5 linked regions of the Coturnix japonica genome follow. The main gene of each other region encodes a partner of the protein of the gene in region 3 in a complex. Links are inferred from orthologs where the notes say so. Each region holds a gene or a part of one and is shown on either strand. Other genes may lie near its edges.

The links.
Region 1: LRRC23 (region 3) and DNAJB13 share a complex: the UniProt entries of both Homo sapiens proteins name them as parts of the axonemal radial spoke complex. The link is inferred for Coturnix japonica from reciprocal best matches to the Homo sapiens genes LRRC23 and DNAJB13.
Region 2: LRRC23 (region 3) and DYDC1 share a complex: the UniProt entries of both Homo sapiens proteins name them as parts of the axonemal radial spoke complex. The link is inferred for Coturnix japonica from reciprocal best matches to the Homo sapiens genes LRRC23 and DYDC1.
Region 4: LRRC23 (region 3) and ROPN1L share a complex: the UniProt entries of both Homo sapiens proteins name them as parts of the axonemal radial spoke complex. The link is inferred for Coturnix japonica from reciprocal best matches to the Homo sapiens genes LRRC23 and ROPN1L.
Region 5: LRRC23 (region 3) and NME5 share a complex: the UniProt entries of both Homo sapiens proteins name them as parts of the axonemal radial spoke complex. The link is inferred for Coturnix japonica from reciprocal best matches to the Homo sapiens genes LRRC23 and NME5.

Annotation. Positions count from the first base shown.
Region 1 is NC_029516.1:175,177,544-175,182,029, reverse strand, and holds DNAJB13 (dnaJ homolog subfamily B member 13), read right to left. Parts: upstream 2,901-4,486; 5' UTR 2,792-2,900; coding exon 2,724-2,791; intron 2,609-2,723; coding exon 2,505-2,608; intron 2,053-2,504; coding exon 1,891-2,052; intron 1,549-1,890; coding exon 1,391-1,548; intron 1,241-1,390; coding exon 1,127-1,240; intron 1,044-1,126; coding exon 930-1,043; intron 731-929; coding exon 654-730; intron 509-653; coding exon 355-508; 3' UTR 299-354; intron 214-298; exon of another isoform or gene 209-213; 3' UTR 55-208; downstream 1-54. Other genes in the region: PAAF1 (proteasomal ATPase-associated factor 1), read right to left, coding at 3,262-3,339, 4,000-4,082, 4,454-4,486. UniProt on the Homo sapiens protein: Functions as part of axonemal radial spoke complexes that play an important part in the motility of sperm and cilia.
Region 2 is NC_029521.1:3,510,948-3,515,473, reverse strand, and holds the start of DYDC1 (DPY30 domain-containing protein 1), read right to left. Parts: upstream 2,973-4,526; 5' UTR 2,891-2,972; exon of another isoform or gene 2,843-2,890; intron 2,676-2,842; exon of another isoform or gene 2,673-2,675; 5' UTR 2,667-2,672; coding exon 2,520-2,666; intron 2,408-2,519; coding exon 2,285-2,407; intron 1,744-2,284; coding exon 1,672-1,743; intron 859-1,671; coding exon 568-858; 3' UTR 1-567. Other genes in the region: EXOSC3 (exosome complex component RRP40), read left to right, coding at 3,016-3,291, 3,365-3,514, 4,459-4,526. UniProt on the Homo sapiens protein: Functions as part of axonemal radial spoke complexes that play an important part in the motility of sperm and cilia. Plays a crucial role during acrosome biogenesis.
Region 3 is NC_029516.1:69,562,876-69,566,775, reverse strand, and holds the end of LRRC23 (leucine-rich repeat-containing protein 23), read right to left. Parts: intron 1,923-3,900; coding exon 1,786-1,922; intron 1,356-1,785; coding exon 1,181-1,355; 3' UTR 1,133-1,180; intron 898-1,132; 3' UTR 581-897; downstream 1-580. UniProt on the Homo sapiens protein: Essential for sperm motility and male fertility. Plays an important role in the proper assembly of the third radial spoke (RS3) head and the bridge structure between RS2 and RS3 in the sperm flagella.
Region 4 is NC_029517.1:52,312,330-52,316,039, reverse strand, and holds the end of ROPN1L (ropporin-1-like protein), read right to left. Parts: intron 1,990-3,710; coding exon 1,814-1,989; intron 1,002-1,813; coding exon 944-1,001; 3' UTR 646-943; downstream 1-645. UniProt on the Homo sapiens protein: Functions as part of axonemal radial spoke complexes that play an important part in the motility of sperm and cilia. Important for male fertility.
Region 5 is NC_029528.1:3,795,432-3,799,710, forward strand, and holds the start of NME5 (nucleoside diphosphate kinase homolog 5), read right to left. Parts: upstream 2,897-4,279; 5' UTR 1,422-2,896; coding exon 1,293-1,421; intron 126-1,292; coding exon 1-125. UniProt on the Homo sapiens protein: Functions as part of axonemal radial spoke complexes that play an important part in the motility of sperm and cilia. Does not seem to have nucleoside diphosphate kinase (NDPK) activity.

The sequences.
Region 1 (4,486 bases), about 110 Mb from region 3:
GTCCAGGTGTTCCTCACTGATGCTTCAAATAAATCACCCCTATGGGGTCTATCCCAGTAGTACTTGGGGTTCTGTCACCTTCTCTTTATTAGAGGGGAGGGTGGGGTTTTACTCCCGGTCCGGAGCTGCTGTTGGGTTCCAGCCCTCGTGGTCTCTTCCTCAATGATTCTGCTCTTGCCAAAGGGGAGCAGCCCAACAGCGGGGAGAGCTGCAGTGCAGAAGGAAGGGAGGAGAGCAGTGATGGGTGCAGCAGAACACAAGGGGAGCAGAGTTGGGCTGCGGGGAGCCCCGTTTGTACCTCACTCTCAGCACTGGCGGCCTCAGCGGGAGGAAAGCGGGGGGTGGCAGCAGCTCTTAGGGCAGCAGCGCTCTCTTCAGGAGCACCTTCTTGTTGGGGCTGAGACGTTTGGGGAAGCAGACGTTGAACTGGATGAGGAGGTCGCCCTTTTGGTGCGGGTCCTTCAGCAGCGGCATCCCTTCCCCAGGCACCACTTTGCAGTAGGTGGGGCTGCAAAGTGAGAGGGAGCTGAGGGTGGGAGCCCCCAACCTGCTCCCAAAGCTCTTGGAGCACCCAAGAAACCCAAGAGGAGCAGCTGGCAGCCCACAGAGGTTCCTCCCATAGCACCCATCTGCCTGCAGATCTGCACACTCACTGCACGATGTCATTGATGGGGATGTTCAGCAGCCGCCCATCCAGCGTCCTCACTTCCACTGTGCAGCCAATCAGTGCCTAAAGACACAGAGCAGGACCAAGAGCTGCAGATGCGGCCACACAGAGCCCCCCATCATTAACCATGGTGCCAAGGACAACTCCCATAGGGACCAAAGGGGCCGAGGCTCCGAACCCGGCGCTATCCTCCTTCTGCATGTTTTGCAGTTGCTGGCTGAAGGCAAAAGGCAGCTGGACGCCCCCTCCCTTTGCTCCTCACCTTTCCCAGGGGGATGTTGGCCACGTAAATGAGGTCGTCGTTGGATCTTTTAAACCTCGGGTGAGGTTTCTCTTGGATAACGAAGATGATGTCGGCTGGAATGATGTTTGGGCCCTAAAAAGGGGGATGGGGGTGGGAAAGGAGCTCTAGGAATGGTTTTATGGGCCCAGCCCACAACTTCAGGTCACAGAGGTTACCTGGTCTCCTTCCTTCTCAAATGTGATCCTGGTGCCTTGCTTCCACCCCGGCTGCACGTCGATGATCAGGATCTTGTCCCTGATGGTGCTTGTTTGGCCGTCTTCGTTCATCACCTGCAGGGTGGATGAGTTTGGGGGGATAAAGGGAAACCTCTGCTGTCAGAACAGCTCCAGGCCGGGCTGGATGCACCCTGGTGCAATGCAATCTGCTGGGGGGAAGGTGTAGCTCATCCTGCCTGGCACAAGGTCCCTCACTGTCCTTACCCGGCGGGAGATCTTCATCTTCTTGGTGCAGCCAAAGAAAAGGTCTTCGAGGGAGACATGGAGGTCCCACACCATCGGGGGGTCCTGCTTCATCACACCTCTTCCTCGCAGCCCTCCAAAGGGCAGCGTCGCCTCCACACCATCCTTGGTGAAGAACTCTGCATGGGGCAGCATGGAGGATACGGGGCTCCAAACCACATTCCCAGTGTGAATGAAAGAACAAAACTTGTAGCAGAGAGGAGATGGAGATGAGATGATGGTAATATTTCACTCAGAGGGTGGTAAGACCCCGGCACTGCCCAGAGCTGTGGGTGCCCCATCCCTGGAGGTGCCATAGGCCACAGATGGGCCCTGGGCAGCCTGAGCTGGGGGCACCCATAACAAGGGATGGGGCTGAGGGGGCTTTGAGGTCTGTTAGGAAGAAGTTCAGGGGCTGGTGATGAGCACAGCCCTAAAAGGGCACAGGCTGCCCCATGGATGGCAGCAGAGCAGCCACCCACCTGCAAAGGGGTTGTGTCCTCCAAAGAACTCCTTGAAGACTCTGTCGGGGTTGTTGTGGAAAACATAACCAGGAGTCCAGGCATCCTCACTGCCAGACTCCACAGGGACGCCGCCTTTGAGACCTTCTTCACCGAACCGATCGTAGATGCCTCTCCTTACAGCTATGGGGCAAGGAGAGACGGGGAACAGATATCTTACTGAGAAGGACGCGCTCAGAGCGGCCCTGAGGGGAAGGAGGTGGGAGTTGTGGTAGAGAAAAGCAGGACATGAGTAATCCCAGCACATAGGGCCAGCAGTGCTGCACCAATAGAGGGAAACAGGCAGGAAGGGAATGTCCCCTTCATGTGAAGCACTGCATTTAGACCTGGGGCCTCCAGCACAGGAGGGACGTGGGGCTGTGGGTCTATAGGAGGACATGGGAATGCTCAGAGGACGGAGCCAGGCTGAGGGGGATGTTCAGCCTGGATGAGGCCAGGCTGGATGTGGCTCTGGGCAGCCTGGGCTGCTGGTTGGTGACCCCACACACAGCAGGGGGCTGGAGCTGGATGAGCACTGTGGGCCTTTGTAACCCAGCCCCATTCTGTGACCCTATGGACTCATCCCCGCTGCTTACGGTCGCTCAGCACATCGTAGGCCTCCGCCAACAGCCTGAACCGCTCCTGCGCCTCCGGCTCCCTGCATTTCTGCGGGTGGTTCTCCAAGGCCAACAGCCGGTACCTGCGGGATGAGGAGCACAGCGAGGCCTACAGCCCCCGCTAGGCCCCATGCTGGGATTGAAGCGGCCATTCGCCCCCAACCCGCCCCCAACCCACGTCTATCCACCCCCCCTCACGCCTTCTTAATGTCGGCGTCCGTGGCCTGGCGGCCCAGCTCCAGCACGGCGTAGTAATCCTGCCCCATGGCGGCCTCCTCGCTATGGTTACGCAAACAGAGGATGGGTTACCAAGGCAACGCCTGTAGGCCGCACTTCCGGCTCTCTGATATATTTCCGTTTCCGTTAGCGCGGAGCACGATGGGAGTTGTAGTTCTTTCAGCGCCACCCACCGCCATTTTGTACCAAACAACCCACTCGGAGCTTTAAGATTAACACCGACTTTTCCTCCACACAAACTCTATGAAAGCGGCTTTATTTCAGCCCACAGCCTCGATTTAACACCCAAATCCACCTCACAGCAGATAAAAAGGGGCTGGAAGGGGCAGAAATGAGCAGAAACAGCCATAACATCAGCCCCATCCCTCCCTCATAGACCCCATAGACCCCATAACACACACAGCCATGTTGCTCACAGACCCCATAACACACACAGCCATGTTGCTCACATCCCCTATAACACACACAGCCATGTTGATCATAGACCCCCCATTAACCCCTACAGGTCTCCCAGCTGGTACCGCCGCACCACGCCGTCCCTGCAGCACGTGTAGATCTGCTTCTCCCACTGAGCGACCTGAAACAAGGAGGGGGGGGGGAAATAATGCAATAAGCCAACAAAGCTGGGTGGGAGAACACAATGAGGTTCAATAAGGCCAAGTGCAACTGTGTGCTGGGCTGCATTTAAAGGGGTGGCCAGCAGGGACAGGGGGGTGATTGTCCCCCTCTACTTGGCTCTTGTGAGGCCCCATCTGCAGTGCTGCATCCAGGCCTGGGGCCTCCAGCACAGGAAGGACGTGGAGCTCTTGAGTGGGTCCAAAGGAGACCACTAAGATGGCCAGAGGGCTGGAGCAGCTCTGCTATGAGGAAAGGTTGAGGGAACTGGGCTGGTTTAGCTTGGAGAGGATAAGGCTGCGGGGAGACCTCATTGTGGGCATCCAGTACTTGAAGGGAGCGAATAAACAGGAGGGGGAACAGCTGTTTGTGAGGGTGGGCAGTGATAGGACAAGGGGGAATGGTTTGAAAGTGAGACGGGAGGTTTAGGTTGGATCTTAGGAGGGTTTTACACCCAGAGGGTGGTGACGCACTGGAACAGGTTGCCCAAGGAGGCTGTGGATGCCCCATCCCTGCAGGCATTCAAGGCCAGGCTGGATGTGGCTCTGGGCAGCCTGGGCTGCTGGTTGGTGACCCTGCACATAGCAGGGGGTTGGAGCTGGATGAGCACTGTGGGCCTTACCTTGTACACAGGGTCACAATCTGCCTCTGTGAGGTCGATGACATAATCGAGGTCTTGCTGAATGATAAAGCACGTTCCATCACCTACGCAAGCAGAAGGAACACCAAGGAAGGAAAGAATATTGGGTGATGAGTAAAAACAGGCCACGTTCTTTCTATAAACAGCACTATGAGCCCAGCAGAAATGCCCAAGAAAAGGGAGACATGTGATGAGAAAAGGCTCTAATGACTGAGAAGCTCCTTGCAGGCCATGATATGGGGGAGCACAAGAAAAATCACAAGGCAAAAAGCAACTACGTAATAGGATGTTCCACTACATCAACTTTTTGCAATGGACACTCTGTGAAACCCTCTCCTAGTGGCTCGGACATCCTGTGTTTGTATGTAAGAGAGGGCATAAGGAGCAAAGAACTGCTCAGCTCAAGTCTATGATCTGCACACAGCACTTGAGTTACCTTGGCTGGCAATGAATCCATCTCTGTATGGGA
Region 2 (4,526 bases), on a different chromosome or scaffold from region 3:
AGTCACACTACCTAGAATATCATAGCTGAAAAAAGCTAAACACACTGATATTTATCTCCAGTGATGTGCATAAAGCAGCATCATCTGTTTAATGTACTGCCATGCTTTACAGTCAATGACAGTTGATTTATACCCTCTCATGTACTAGGATTGTCAAGCACAAAGTGAATAAAAAAATAGGGGTGTAGAAGATGGCTGCATATCACAATTTAGATTGATAGTTGTAGTTTTGGAATAAGTACTGTCATGCTGGCACAGGGTTTGGATAACCTGATTCTTAGCAGGTCTTTGCTGCACTGAGCACTGTGCGCTTGGTACCTGGTCTTTTACATTAAATAATTGTTCAGATATCTCTGCGTTCTGCTGCATGAACAATGTACTTCAGACCAATCAGAATAATGTAAGTCATTTCATTCAGAAGCAAGACAGTGTTTGTGATTGAGTCTGTGTCCTGTTTGACACCTGCTCAAAAGGCGAAGGAAGGCTGCTTCTTGTCTGAGAATATTAATACATCCATTCATAACACACATGACTATAAAGGGGCATTTTAAATCTTTGGCACTTTATTCACTCAGCACCACATAAGCAGCCTTTCAGAATGTACAGCCTAAGGACAGCATGAAGACTGTGGCCCAAATAATATCCCTTCAGATTGTAGTAAAGAACCGGTATAGGGTTAACTAGAACAGTCTTAGTCTTCCATTTGTCAGCAAGAAAATGTTTGAGCATTAATTCCATGTAACCTTTTTCTTTCCAAACACTTACCTCAGACACTCCACTCTCATCTACTTCCTCAACTGTGGGCAAATTAGGTGCTCCTGCTCTATCTGTAAGTTCAGCTATTGTCTTCTCATCTTCCTGTAGTGGAAATTCATTTTCAATTAGAAGTATTCCGTGTCATGAGCAATCGTCTACAGTGGATACTTTGAACATGCTTTGAAAATGTAGTTTAAGTATGAATGTAAAGACAATACTTCAGATGCTTGCTACACAAATGTGTTAGTGTGCAAATGGGGTCTTTGTGCATGTAAAGACTGTTTTTACAAAGGTTTCAGGGTTCTTTTTTGCTTCAGTTTATAAACGTGCATACTTCTGTTACATTTACAGTCATTCTTCTAGCTATGTGCTATCAATATCTCAACACAGTGCTCTAAAAATATCTCTATTCTGCTCCAAGTAAAGTTAGGAAATGTTTCACGTCTAAGTGTCAATGATCAATCTGTTTTACCAAAACAGCATCATATGACTATGTATTTATATGGAAGACCAAAAAATCAAGAGGCATCCCACCTCCAAGTGTTGGTTCCTTTTCCAGGTGTGGCAAATGGGCTTCACGTTGCCAGGCAGTAAAATGTAACTATCTAAGCATTCATGTTAGACACGTTCAAGTTCTAGTATTTTATTAATTAAAAAAAAATCTGAACTTAAGCTACATTTTATAATAACTTTATGCTCTGTTCTGAATAAAAGCTAAAGAAACCCAATAGAACAGATGAGAATTCAAGTCTAAAACCTAAGCTGGAAAGAAGCATTAAACGTTCTTCCCTAATGTTAGCTTTCTGTTTTGTTGTGTTCAAGGCTTCTGCCTTGTGTTCTGTATTTAGGGACTGGATCTGAATAAGAGAGATGATTAACAATATTTCTTTATCTTGACTAAGCTTTGGCTTAAACCTCTGGATCTTTCTGCTGCTCCTGCATGTTCTCTTCTTTATTCTGCTGTTCCATCTTCTCACGTTCTTGTTCCTATTGTAAAGAGAAGACAGCTGAAGATAGCGTATATGCTTTTGATACTCAGTTCCTCGTGCTCTTTAGTAGTTAATATTTATATCTCCTATACTTTGGATTAGGCTCTTTGAAGCTTTGCACAGCATCTATTATAGACAGACTAATCCATATAGATTCTATGGGAGGAAAAAATAGCTAAGATAGTTAACTGCAGAAGACAGTCTACTTATCCTAATCTAATTTTCTAACATATCTTTAGTTAGTTTCTCTTTAGCTTAGTCTCTTCATTTTTGGTAACATCTTGTCATGTAGCAGGTAAGTTTTTCTCCCCAGCTGCTCAGCTGTCCTTTCTAATTCCTTTCGAAATAATGATATTTTCAAAACGCAATGTTTAAGCACTTTTTGTTATCTTTTCCCTTTCAAGATCAGAATACAATTGTAGGTACTTTCCAACATTCTGATTCTCTTATGATTCTATGTTGATAATGACTACTATTGTAGTGAGAGCTACAAGTTGACCCAGCATCACACGCTACTATAATTATGAACAACTATTAACCTGCCGTTGTTCTTCAAGTTTCTGTTGTATCAGTAGCTCTTCTTCCTTCATTTTTCTTAACATTTCAAGTTCTTCCAGGGCTGCCTGCCGTTCTTTTTCCAGTTTGGCCCTTTCCAACGTTCTCTATTTCAGAGGTAACAAGAAATCAATGAAAAAAAAAGGAAACAAAACACAAAGAGAGATTATACAGCATCAGTTAGATTGACATGAAATGCTTTGCCCGAGGTAGACCCACCTTCTTTTCTTCTTCTAGTGTTTTCTTGTAGTTGTAGATCCAGTGTGCCAGGTACTCTATTGGGTCAGCGGGCCGACGCTCCACAACCTCCGCCAGACCCTTTTTCAAGCAGCTTCCCAGACATCTCCTCAGGTATTGAGACTCCATTCTCACCTACTGACAAACCGACAGATATTAGTCACCGATATCGGAATTCAGACAGCAGTTAGAGGAAGTGTTGACTGCATCACATCCCCAGTGTGATGTTGGTGGTTTTATCAAAGCTCATTTCATCAGGCAATTAATATGAGAAGGTGGTAGCGGTGCTGTCCCCCGTTCCCTACCGCTTCGCTCCTACCGGCCCGATCGCACAGCGCGTCCAACCGCGTTACCGGGCAACCGCGCTCCCGGCTGGATCCTGCGTCAGGCGGCCGGGCGGTGTCGCTGTCGTTGCGCTCTCGGCCCTTCCATCGCCGCCGCCATTTTGCGTCTGCTTCCGCCGGAAGGGCCGCACGCGATGGCGGGTGGGGGCGGCGTGCCGGCGGAGACCCGTGTGGGACAAGTGGTGCTGCCCGGCGATGTGCTGCTGCTGCCCGAGCACGGAGAGCCCGACCTCGACAAGCTGCCGCTGGGCACCAGCGCGGCCCCGCGGGGGAGGCTGCTGTGCGGGCCGGGGCTGCGGCGCTGTGCGGGCGGGCTGCTGGTCACCAAGTGCGGGCTGCTGCGGCACCGGCAGGCGGGCGGCGGAGCGGCGGCGGGCGGCGCCTACTGGGTGGACTCGCAGCAGAAGCGGGTACGGCGGCAGCGGGCGGCGGGGGGCGGTGATGTGCGGGACGAGCCCGCTGATCGCTTGTACCCGCTTGTAGTACGTGCCGGTGAAGGGAGACCACGTTATCGGCATCGTGACGGGCAAGGTGGGGGACGTGTTCCGGCTGGACGTCGGTGGTAGCGAGCAGGCCTCGCTGTCATACCTGGCCTTCGAGGGCGCGACCAAGAGGAACAGGCCCAACGTGCAGGTAACGCTGCCCGCCGGGAGCTTGCCTTTGTAAACGGTGTTTTTACCACTCGGACCATATAAACGAGGAACGTGACTTTTTTCACAGAGCTTTTGTCATGGCCTGTACGGGGTGTCCCGATGAGGCCGTGAGTTTTTTCTGTTTTCTCCGGAGCTTTTTGTGCTTCTTCACTTCTGACCTTACACCTTTCCCATCGGTTAACAGTGGCAGGTGCTACTCGTGCAGTAACGTGGGTCCCAAGGGGCCACCCTGAGGCTTTAAAGCATCCTCTGAACGCTGGTGCTGGTAGAGGAGGGTTTGCTTTGTAGCATTTACAAGTTGTTTTGTGATATGTGCGTTCACCAGAAACACTGTCAGCATGGTGTAAAATGGGCTGTGATTTTAAATGGAATAGACTGGTATGGCTTCTGGTGCGCCTTCTGAGTAAAGAATTGTTTCCTAACATGTAACCTTTATCTCCCCTCTGTTAATTCAAAGCCATTCCCCCTTGTCCTGTCACTACTAGGCTATATAAAAAGTCACTCCCTATAAGCACTGGAAGGCTTCGATGGGGTCTATCCAGAGCCTTTTCCAGGCTCAACAAGCCTAACTCTCTCAACTTTTCTTCACACAAGAGGCGCTCCGGCCCTCTTCTGACCCATTCCAATGGTCTTGTGTCAGGGGCCACAGGCTTGGACAGAGTACCCCAGGTGGGGCCTCACAATGGCAGAATAAAGGGGTCAGTTACCTCATTCACCCTTCTAGCTATCTTTCTTTGGATCCAGCCTGGGATCCCATTGGCCTTCTGAGCTGCAAGTGTACGCTGCTGGTTCTTGTCCAAGTGTTCATCCAGTTTACAACTGTTTTGTTGTCTCTTTATGGACTGAATGTTTCTTACAAATGTGCATTGTTATCTTCTCTAATGATTCTTTTTTTTTGTTGTTTTCTGGCACTGCTTGCTTTAGGTGGGAGACCTTGTTTATGGTCAGTTCCTTGTAGCAAATAAAGACATGGAACCAGAGATGGTCTGTAT
Region 3 (3,900 bases):
GGGAGTACCTGAAATTAAAATAGGAAAGAGAAGTGAGAAGGGTGGGGGTGAGGAGAAACGGGTGGGAGGAGCAGGTGGAGGAAGTGAGAGGAGTTTAATCGCTAATTCCGCTCACTACGGTCCTTTCCTACAGGGACACAAGTGCGTGTAGGGTTTGGAGGGCACGGAGCGGGGAGCAGAGGCACGCATGCAGTGAGGGGAGGGGGCGGCTGGCAACGGGGGGGGGGGGGGGGACACTTACCTTCCTAAAGCAGGGGTGAACGAGAGACTGAGAAAGTGCTGGTAGAGAGGAGAGAGGACGGAGCTGAGAAGGGATGCAGGACCTCAAGGGGAGATGATGTGTCCTCTAAGCCAACGGCGGCGGCGGCAGCAGCAGGATGGAGACGCCCCTGATAGGGCCGGGACAACAGCATGTGACCCAAAGCTGCGATTAGTCAGGATTTAGCAAAGCTTTGCAAACAGCACGTAGAGGATGGAGAGAGAAAGAGAGAGAGACAGACAGGGGACGGACACAGACAGATGAGGGCGAGAGAGATAGGGAATAGGAGTGGGTGGGCAGGATAAACAATTGCAGACACTCTAGGCTCATTACAGATTTTTATCCAAATAAGAAAATCACGTAGAATTTCTGCGAGCCATAAATCAAAGCACAACGTTTGTAACCCCCCTTTTCCCCTCTTGGGACTACTTGGAGTATGTACGTGCAGAGACTGTAAAAACACTGCGGTAACTGAAGGCAGCAGCCAGGACACTCCTCTCTTCTTCAGGCAAAATGAGGTGAACCTCGTATCTGTAGCTTTGCTCTATGGATAGATGCATCCCCACATCTTCACAGGGAACAGGGATTTGAACTGGTGGTCACTTGGTCACATCACCCTGGAGAAGTACCTCCATTTCCTGAAGAAGGAAAGAGGGAGAACTGAAATGACTCCATGCCTGGCTTCTTTTCCTCTTTCACCCCTCACTTGTGCTGCTGGGACCAGGGATGGCCATCAGGCTGTGAAGCCTGTTTTCTGTTGCAGGCTGCTCTGCCCTTGGGACTGACCTCCCTCAGCTATTTCATCATGCAACCCAAAGGAGGAGGGGCTGAACAGCACATCTGATCTTATGTCTTTCACATCCTCGTTCATACCTTTTCTTCTTCCTGCCTTTTCTAACAGATTCCATTCGCCTCTGTACGCTAATTTTGCTCAACTGGTTCCTTGTCGAGACGCTTCAGGTTTGGCAGCTGGTCCAGAACCTCCTGCTGGTAGTTTGAATCGTCAGCGCATGGATTGTCCATCAGCACCAGGACCTGCAGCATGGGGAGCACCTGCAGTTTTGCCACTTCCTGCAAGCTACTGATCGCATTGTTCCTAAAGAAAAGCCAGCACAATGTGCAGGAGAAAGATCCGTATAAGTCATAACAATAAGGATTTCTTTGTGTTCGGTGCATTGAAATGTCTGACAATGCCAACCCCCTGTACAGCAAGTGCTTGGAAGAAAAGGACACTGGTGGTCATGGCCAGGACATGGAGGAGAAGCAGAGGGGGATGGAACAAAGAGTAACAGCAAGATTTTAAAGGTATGGTGTAGGGTCTGAGAGCAACTGGAGGGGCAGATCTTTACTGAGAGGTGGGAAACTGGTAGAAAACTGAGCCCTGAACACCAGTCAAAAGCAATAAAGATGAACCCAACCTGTACCCATCAGGTCTCCAGCTTCTAGAGAAAGCAGAAAATCCTAAAGATAGGAGTACAGCCTGATTAACTGCTGTTTAGTCCTGACACAAAGCAGGGAGGACCCACCGTAGATTGAGGTACTGCAGGCACTTCATGCTGCTAGAGAATCCATCCAGGGTCCCAAGCTCATTATCACGCAGGTGCAGGGTTGATAGCTGCTCTAGTGCCTCAAGGCCTTCAAGGCTCTTAATGGTATTCTGGGCCTAAGCAGGGATGTAGGAAGTGAGAATTAAAACAAAAAGGCAGACATGGCAAAGGAAATAGTTATTTCTGGCCTGTTAAGCTCTTTCTACTCTTCAGACTTCCTAGCACTGCCAAGCAACCTCTGAAGCAGGACATCATACATACACAACAACACAGGGAGCCTTCCTGGCAGTGACACATAGTATGGCCAGAAGCCAAACCAGGAATTCTACTGGAATTTTAGAGATAGAGAACAAAATACCTTGAGAACATGTCTGCAGCTCTCACTTGTACCTGATCAGGATGCTGGTTACACTCACAAAGAGTCAGATGGGAAAGGACCTTTGGAAGTCTCCATGCAGCACCATGCTTACAACCAGGCTAACTCCAAGAGTCCAGTGAACTTCCAGTTTAGCTCCTTCTTTTATGGGAGAAATCTACTATCAAAATGCATACGACCAGAAGCGGGCTGCATGATCCTGACAGAGGTTTCAGAAAAGCAGGGCCTGACATCTGGTTTAAGTGCTTCTTAGCACCACATCTTTCAACCCAGAGATAAGCAGAACATCACTTGTGATTGTGGCTTAGGGTTGTAGTCCCTAAGGATGCAGATACCCGAACAGGACACAGGGAGGGAGGCTCCTATCCTAGTTTCAACCGAGATAGTGCTAATGTTCTCCATAGTAGCTATCACTGTGGCATGTTTTGTATTGAGGATGAGGATGATGTTGTTGTTACCCAAGCAGTGATGTAGTCAATGCCCAAATCTAACAGAAGGGGAACAGCCTCAGCTGGTAGGATAGGAGAGGAGGAAATCAGGAGCTGATGACGGAATCAGGGTGGGGAGCTCACAGACCACTAGTGTGTGAAATGAATAGCAACCTACTATCACTCCCACTTGCTCCACTACACCAGCGCAAACAGTTTGAAAGGCTCCAGCCATGCAAGCTATCGTTTCTTAGTGGAAGCTAATACAATACGTTGCCCATGCTGCAGCTAGCCTTTGTCAGCAGTACTGCACAATGAAGTAACACAGACTTACCCTTCGCACAGCACTGAACCTAAAATGGATGCTGACTGAGGCACCACGTGGTTCACAATCAGCCTTTAGTTTTCCTGCCGGTGGGCAGAACTTTGTGAATGCTGAAACTATGTCATATATTAACCAAATTTGATTCAGTTACTTTAAGCTGACCTTTGAATTCCTATTTGATGGGTGCGCTGAACCCTGCCCTTGCAACATCGGCTTTATCTACCTATGGACCATGTAACACCAACATGTTTCTACAGAGAGCAAAGCAGTACCGGGAGGTATCCCCCCTCCAGAATGATTTGATAAGCAGGTGAACGTGGGAAACAAATTCAAGCCCACAACATTCCAATCAGTTGTTGTAGTTTTAATAATCTCATCCTACAGTTTGCCTGCTTCAGATGTGTGGCTCAGGAATTCTGTCTCCCTCTTTAAATACAAGTGTTACTGTTGTTTAACTCCTGCTAACATGACTTGTTTTAATCAGAATTTCTATACTGTACCTAGTGACTTAGCCACTTCATCCCTCCTTCCAGCACCCATAGTTCTAAGACTTCAGCTTTACATCAGAGAACAGCAGACAAACTCAGCTAACAGTCTCCACTGTGCTTTCTGCCAGGGAGTACTGATGAAAAGAAACCCTGTAGCTTTTCAAAACCTTTTATCATCTCTAATTGCTTTTGCACAGGTAATGACTTGGGACCACCATCAAGTCTTTGCAAGCCATAGTACTGTGTGATTCATAGGAGTAAGCCAACATATTTTCTTCATTTATGTCTCAAGCAGTAAGTGTTCCCTAAAGCAACTGTTTACAGGAGAAGAAAATTGCTGCTTCTTAGTTTCAATGAGATATTGAATCAGTTTCTTTTTTGGCAGCCCAAGATGTGAACCATATCTCTGTGCTGCTATACCCATACTCAATTAGGCTCATCAGAGAGGAGAAAGAGCTACTGGCTATAGGTATTGGG
Region 4 (3,710 bases), on a different chromosome or scaffold from region 3:
CTTAAAGAAATTTAGGATCAACGTCAAGCTGACAACGGTGGTGACAGACATCCTGAAGAGCTCTGCTAATGTAGAGATGGAACATATAAACAGGAAGGGGAATGGCTGTTTATGAGGGTGGACAGTGATAGGACAAGGGGGAATGGTTTTAAACTGAGAGAGGGGAGGTTTAGTTGAGATATTAGGAGGAAGTTTTTCACACAGGGGTGGTGACACACTGGAACAGGTTGCCCAAGGAGGTTGTGGATGCCCCATCCCTGGAGGCATTCAAGGCCAGGCTGGATGTGGCTCTGGGCAGCCTGGTCTGGTAGCTGGTGACCCTGCATATAGCAGGGGGCTGAAACCAGATGATCATTGTGGTCCTTTTCAACCCAGGCCATTCTATGATGATGATGATGAGGAGAAATCCAAATTAGAGATTGAACTAGATGAAACTATTGTCATTAATCTAGTTGATTTTTTTTTTTACTGTCTTGGCTACAGGGTTCTTCATGGTCTTTGAGCAGTGCTTGGCAAAACTATATGTTTTATAGAGTTTGTTTATGCAGACAAGGCAGTCAAAAGACAAGCTGTGCTTTTTAAGAGTTAAAAACAGGAAGAAAATTGTTACTTTACTTAAGAAATGGACTGGTTAAGTTGCATCCATCCAGTCTTCTCTAAATTTAGTTTTCTATTTATAAAGTCTAGGTAGAAAGATTCATGAAATACATTTGATTCAGTATAAACAAATCAGTGAAAGTACCACTCCCAAGCTGTGAGCATCAATATTTCAGAGGTGAAAAAAAACAACATAACTACATATTCAGTTCACTCTGATAAAGGACAATTTCAAGAATGAAATATAAAGGGAAAGGTGTGCTGGAGTAGAGGTTCTTTGTGTATTGTACTGACTTCTTCATTTTTTCCACCTCCGTCTGCTGCTGAAGAGTTGACTTGATCAGAACTATGATGAGGACTGGCTCTGGAAGTTTCTGAGCAGTACCATGCCATTTTGTCGGTCACTGGAAAGGAACAGGAACCAAATGTCTTAGAACAACACTTCAAGGTGATAAACTGTAGTATGTGGGGTAAGATACAGTTGAGGGTTACATTAATTGAGAGTTCTGTTATTAAAAAATGATTCTAATTAGAAATCATTCTGGTAATTGATGAGAAAGAAAATTGTTCATTTCTGTGCTTGTGCGTTCCTAATGTGATATGAAAACCAAAACGGGATGAAGTCAGGTGGGAGTATGAGTAGGCTTTGTCTTTTATATCCACTGGAGGCAACCAACACAAAGAGCATTCCAAGAACAACAGTTTACCATATTTATCTCATACTATGACAACTGGAGAGCTGAACTGTTTAAGAAGAAACTACATATTCCCCCACATAATTTTCAGGCAGAGCTAACATGGGGAGAAACACAACAGAAAGTTCACAGGCTTCAAGTGTGAGCTCCCAGTTTCTCTCCTATTTACGATCCTTGTCCCAAGAGCAGCCCGTAAGATGCTGATAGCTCCACTACCAGTAGTGCACAGATGATACAAAGCTGTATATAATTGCTTCCTAAGGGGAAAGCTACATCACTAGATAGTGAATTTAACATTTCAGAGATGGCTAAATAACAGTTTATCATTTCACAGTTCAAAGCCCCAAGGTTTTCCACTTACAGGAAATAACTATGTACGCTTTTGATATAACCTGAGTCAACCTTTACTCCTATCATGGATGCACCCCAAGCAAAGACAGATGACTCATCTAAAATTAGAGGTCTGTGGAGAATCCAGAGATAACATGTAACTTAAAATTGATGCCTGAACTTTTACTTACGCGTCTTCTTTAATCTTTTGGAGGAAAGATTTGATTTCCTCAGATGGTATGTCTCCATCGATACTAGCCAAATAGCAGTAAAGGAATGAGAACATTTCATAGGGAATACGAGCTGCTCCACCTTCTGGGTCCTCTGTTAAAATTTCGCAGGCATATTTCATTGAACTCAGCAAGGACTGGAAGGGGTTCAAGGAAGGAATGAGAACAGTATCAGAGCCGTTAACATCTTTTGTATATCATGACAAAATGCAGACTGCAAGCCACAGAAAATGAGTGAAAATGAAATGAAGGCTTTATCATTATTACCTAGCTCTCAGTATCAAATTTCTAGCTGTATGAGGAGGCTGAGGAAGCTGGAATTGTTCATTCTGGAGAAGAGGAAGCTCAAGCGGTGAGCCTAATGCTATATAACTACCTATAACTACCTGAAAGACCTGGGATTGTTCAGTCTGGAGAAGATGCTCAGGGGAGACCTTATGTCTCCCAACAAATCCCTGAAAAGAGGTTGTGGTGAGGTGGAAATCAGCCTCTTCTCCCATATAACTAGTGACAGGACTAGAGGGAATGGCCTCAGGTTGCACAAGGGGAGATAACAGGTTGGACATTAGGAAAAGTTTTCTTCTCAGAGAGTGGGCAGGCACTGGAATGGGCTGCCCAGGAAGGTGGTGGAGTCACCATCCCTGGAGGTGTTCAAGGAATGCTTAGATGTTGTACTGAGGGACATGGTTTAGCGGGAAATACTGGTGGTAGGTGGGTAGGTGCACGGTTGCACTGGATGATCTTAGAGGTCTTTTCCAGTCTTGGTGATTCTATGATTTATCAAACAGTGCAGGTTGTGAAAGCAAAACAATAATAAAGTTCAAGTAATAAACGGGAGTAAAAAAAAAAACCACAACTTTGTAATGTTGAAAGATTGCACCAAGTTGTCTGAGCTGTATCCAAAACGCTCAACAGCTCAAACCTCGCTATCTGTCTACGTGTATATATGAGCTCATGGGTCTAAATGGGTTTGCAGTGACAGTTAAGATTGATAGACAAATCTAAAACAAACAAACAAAAAAATGCAACAGTTCCATGTTAAATCTTAGGAATTATAATATTTACTATTTTCCCTCTTTGTATGCAAGCTCCACTTTAATAGTGGAAAAAACCCTGAAGCAAAAAGAATCCAAAAAGCGTCCAAGTTCTCTGTTGAACAAAAACATGCCTCTAAGTGTTAGCTCAAAGCATGCTTTGAAAAAATGCTTTATTCCACGTGGTGCCTGTAATCCAGTACCCTATCCATCCCAGGCTATTAAGGGACATGTGGAAAAATCAGGCATGAAATTTGATTGAATCAAAGGCTGGTTGGATACTATTAAAAACTTACTTTCCTCAAGCCCCACAAAGAAGAAAGCAAAAAAAAACCCAAAAACACACAAAGAAAAAGACTTTTGTTAACCCAAGAAGTCATATTTTTGTTAGAATTTCTTCAAAATTTATCTTAACTTCTTCATCAATAGGCAAGCAATGACTTTACAAATATATATTCAGGAATGTAAACTAAAATTGGAAGAAAAGAATGTAACAATTTGTAAGCCTTTCTGGTTTAAGCTGAAGTTCAGGTTTTCATCGTGCAGAGATAAAATCAAATCATTTTAATATCTGAAAGGATGGATAAAGGAAGTAAATTCAGGTTGTTCAGCTCCATCAGAACAAGGCTCCTGGGACTGCTTTTTTGTTTCGGTTGTTTTCTTTTCTTGTCATCTGGTGGTTTTTGTTCTGTTTTGTTTTTAAGTAACATTGCTGTTGTTACTACTACTACTTTTTTTTTAAGTGAAGGAAAGTAAAAGAAATCACCAAATCCATTTCTGGGCGGGGCTGGAATCAAGAAATATGCCCTTCAGGTGGACAAGTA
Region 5 (4,279 bases), on a different chromosome or scaffold from region 3:
GCAAGAACCATAGCAAGTGAAGGTCCAGAGCTCATATAGGCTGCTAAATTAGGAAAAAACATTTTTCCATACTGGTCTGCATAAAAGATGCTACATTGCTCTGGGCTCAGCTGGAGCTTCCGTTTCTAAGAAAAGCGTAAAAGAGAAGAGAAAGAAAAAAGTTTACTAAATAGAGCTGGTTTGCTACCTCAGGTACCACACTGTTCTTTGGAGGCAGTCACATTTTCAAGTGCAAGCTGAAGAGGTACAGGGTAACTTCCCAGCTTAGTCTGATTCTCTCAGATTTGGTCCCCCTTGAGATACAAAGCAACAACAACAACAGAAACAACAAACAATGAAAAGAAAACAAAACAAAGAAGCAACCAACCAAGAGGTTTCTGTGTTATAATTAATACCCGCAGCATTAATTATACAATTGTTCTTTCTTTCATTCGGTGCTTTAGGATTTTCACTATAGCTATCCTGCCTGCAGGTAGCCAGAATTAGGCCAGGTGTAACAGGTTATCCAGCAGAGGGCACAGGGCAGCCTGGAGAGAAATTAACTTATTAAAAACTCCTTTCTTTGAGCCTGCTCTAATGTGATACAGAGTGCTGAGCATTCAGATTCCTATCAGCCTCAATGTCAAAAGTTAATGACTGTAAAGCTCTTCTCATTAAGAAAGAAAACAAAACACACACACGCACACACACAACTCTAATCTTCTGATGAATTTCCTATACTTAAAACAAACAGAAATGTAGAGGAAGAAATTAAAAAAGAACAAGTTCTTTTCAAACTCTTTTCAAACTTTTCAAGGCATTTACGAAAGATGACAGTTTTAGGGAAGCATATACATGTAATACTTGTATCTAGAAGCCTGGTTGCTGCTCAGCCAGTGCCCTCAAAGTTCGGTGCCGAAGGTGCTGCCTCCACACTACTAGGAGGGGGAGGAGGAGGAAGAGAAGAAAGCAAACACGATGAGGACGACAGCGGCACCCAGCGACCAACCCAACCCCACGGGGGGACATGGAAGAAGGCTTTTTGTTTTTGAGTTCATTTGTTAATGAACCCAGTTCATGAAGGAAGTATGGGGTTTCTTCTGTCAGCGAAGTCTGGTGGGTTCTCTTCCATGTCACACACCAACGAAATGTATCCTCGAGGAATCTGGGAGTTGTGGTTGATGACGTGAAAAATATAAACCGATTTTTGGGCAACAGAAGCTTTTAATTATTGAACTGACTGCTGAAAGTTAAGAAGACCATTGACGTGACCCACCAACTGCAGCTGTTATCTCAGGAACGCAGCTTTTTACCTGAACAATCAGGAATCCGGATCTGAGGATGAGATCCTCTATCTCTTCCTCCTTATCTACAACATCAGGTTTGATGAGAGCCAGTGTTTTTTCCACAAAAATCTGAGGTTCTGGCATGAGCCTCTCCATCTTTCTGCATTAGAACTTCTTAGCCCTACAACGACAGCAGTTGATGACAACGTTTATCTCCGAATAGTGTAAGTAACGTGGGATGGTTTCCTGAGACACGGTTCTCCCTGGGTTTTGGCCTCCGTGCCCGTGAGTCTCTGAAGACACGCAAACACACACGGAAAGCTCCCGGTCACCAACGGCTCCTCCGTGCCCGCCCCGTTGCCAGGTGCCGGCAGGGCAATGCGGGCAGCTGCCATTGGCCACAAGATGGCGGCCGTGCCCTGGCAGCGGGCGGCTGCGTGCGTGTGCGGGGGTGGAGCAGAAATGGCGGCCGGGAGCGGCGCTGCCTGAGCGGGGGGAGGCCGCACCCTCGGCAACCGCGCTTTCCGGATCTCATTTGCCTCTTTCCTGAGCTCTAGGTGTGATAAGAGCGTAAGGAAAGGAGTAAAATAGCTTGTTTTGGGGATCTGATGCGTTGTTAATCCTGTGACACAGCTTTCTGTCGGTTTTACTCCACGCTGAAAGCAATATCTCACAGCTGACGCTCATGAACAGAGGTTACGCTGTAGAACCGGTGTTTTGGAACAGAAACAAACTTTTCATTGCCAAAGCCCCCTGCAGGTTCTTTAAATCTCGCCGTGTGGCGGCAGCACGCACGGCACCTCCTGTTTATTTCCCGTCGGACCCGCAGCTCACAACAGAGCGGGCGCTGACCTCAATTCCCAACTCTAGAACACAGTTTCTCAGCACTTTGGATTGAAAGGCATTTTGTCCCCGGTGTTACCCGGTTTTAACACAGAAACAAGCAGCCCGCCGCCCCGCTGAGGCCTGCCAGCTGCTATCGGCTCAGCACAGCCCGGTGGCTGCGATAACGCCAGCACCAGCCCATGGACTCCTCACATTCAGGCCTCTTCCACTGCTGTGTGTTTGCCAGCAGTGATGGGATCCCGGGTGACATCTGTTTGTCACATCCAGCTGGAATTAATGTTCCATTTGAGCCCTTGGGGTGAGATGGACCAAGAGACAAGCACTCATGTCGGCTTCTTAAACAGAGAGAGCTCAACCAGCAGTCGGAGATACTGTAAATGCAGCAACTGCTCACAGATAAGGGAAAGACGTGTTTTGTGAGAAATAAATTCCTAGAAAGATCTGGGAGTTCATCTATTTTTCCTTTTAGTTCAGGGTTAATTCTCTTTGCAAACCAAACGCCTACAAGGCTGACAGGCTGACCCCAGGCTTAGCAGCTCAAAAGCCTCCCTCAGCCCCAGTGAATATTTCCGATTATTACTTAAAAAACGTTGAATTTAATATCCTCACAGAATACTGCTGACTTTAATCTCTCGCAGTTCCTTTAGCTGGGTGCATTTTGCTCTCAGTTAAAAAAGATAGGAAAAAAAAAATGCATCAATATCTGTCCGTGCATCCTTGTCTGCTGCAGCCTCCCCATGAGCAGTGTCCCGTGCACTCCCCATCCTTCTGTGTCACAATTTCTCCTCCTTGCTGTTTCCAGAAGCATTTCTGGAGGGTGGAGATCATCTAATTTTAGCAACTCAGAGAATCCTCTGCTCTCCAATGAGCGAGCTGCTGCATCTGAAGCTGCAGCCAATTACCCGGGGTTTCCTCCTGCTACACTTCCCACGACCGTTTAATAATGCAGAGTTGCACATTTAAAGGGACCCCGCGCATTAAGAGAAAATAACATCGTGTGTTCCCTAACAAAGAAGTAGCTTTACACGCTAAGAGTATCTCAAAGGTTTCTTCTAAATCCTTAAATTCCATAGACCCGACCTTTTAACCCCGTGTTGATACTGTTATTGTACGCATGGTATCTTTGTAGCGCTTTTAAAGCTACTTTAATGACTAAAAGGCTGGTTTGAAGCGTCCTCTCTAACTTCTGTAGCCCAGGGATGTTATTAAGAGCTAAGAAAAGAAACAAACAAAACCTGAAATTTTAATTACAATGCAACAAACCATTTTAAGTCCCGAATACTTCTCCGGGCACAGCTCTGCTGCTGTATCTGACCTGTTAAGCAGTTTAACAAGCCTTGGTTGTCTTATTTTGGGCTGGCATGGAATATAATAACACTATAATAACAAGATTGTGGCTGCAGATGCATTCTAGTAGCAAAGAAATGATGTTCTTAAGGAAAAGATACTGTTTTCAAACTTTGAACTCCAAAAAAATAGTAGTAATCATTGACTGGCTATTCATTTGCCACACAAACAACTTCTGTCCACCACTGACATCATTTTTATTTGCTTCTGTCTCCTACGATGAAGGCTGGGATACCCACACGCAGAACGTGCTGCAGCCGTGCTTGCTTTTGCAGTGCAAAGTGTCTTTGACGGAAATCCTGTGACCAAGCAAACTTCCGCTCCTGTGAGCCCGTTCCCTGCTCCATTTCTTACAGCTAACGACTCTGCTGCAGCTTGCCTACACGCCTGTAATCCGAGCTAACTTTATATTGCTTCTGACTAACACAATTCAAGCCTTCATTTCTGCTTTCATGTATTTGCTACCTCACTACTTTCTTTAAAGATCTTATTTCTACAAGGCTCTAAGTAATAACAAACTTCCTATCTACAGCATGCTCTGCTGACCTTCTTCTATTTTATTTCCTGATCCTCATGCCCACTCTTTCATATGTTCACAGCTTTTGCCACACACTCTCCCTGACCCCCCAGCACCTGCACAGATGCACTTCAGTCTCTTGTAATCAATCGGTTAATTTAATACAACCCCTCCATAGAAGTGCCTCCTCACATCTCATGTTTGTAAGTCTTCCAACCACATCTCCTGCCTGGCTGCACCCTAAAGTCACTTCAATCACAGTTTTGCTTCCTCTACTCATCTAAAAGCTTCTCAACAAATCTTA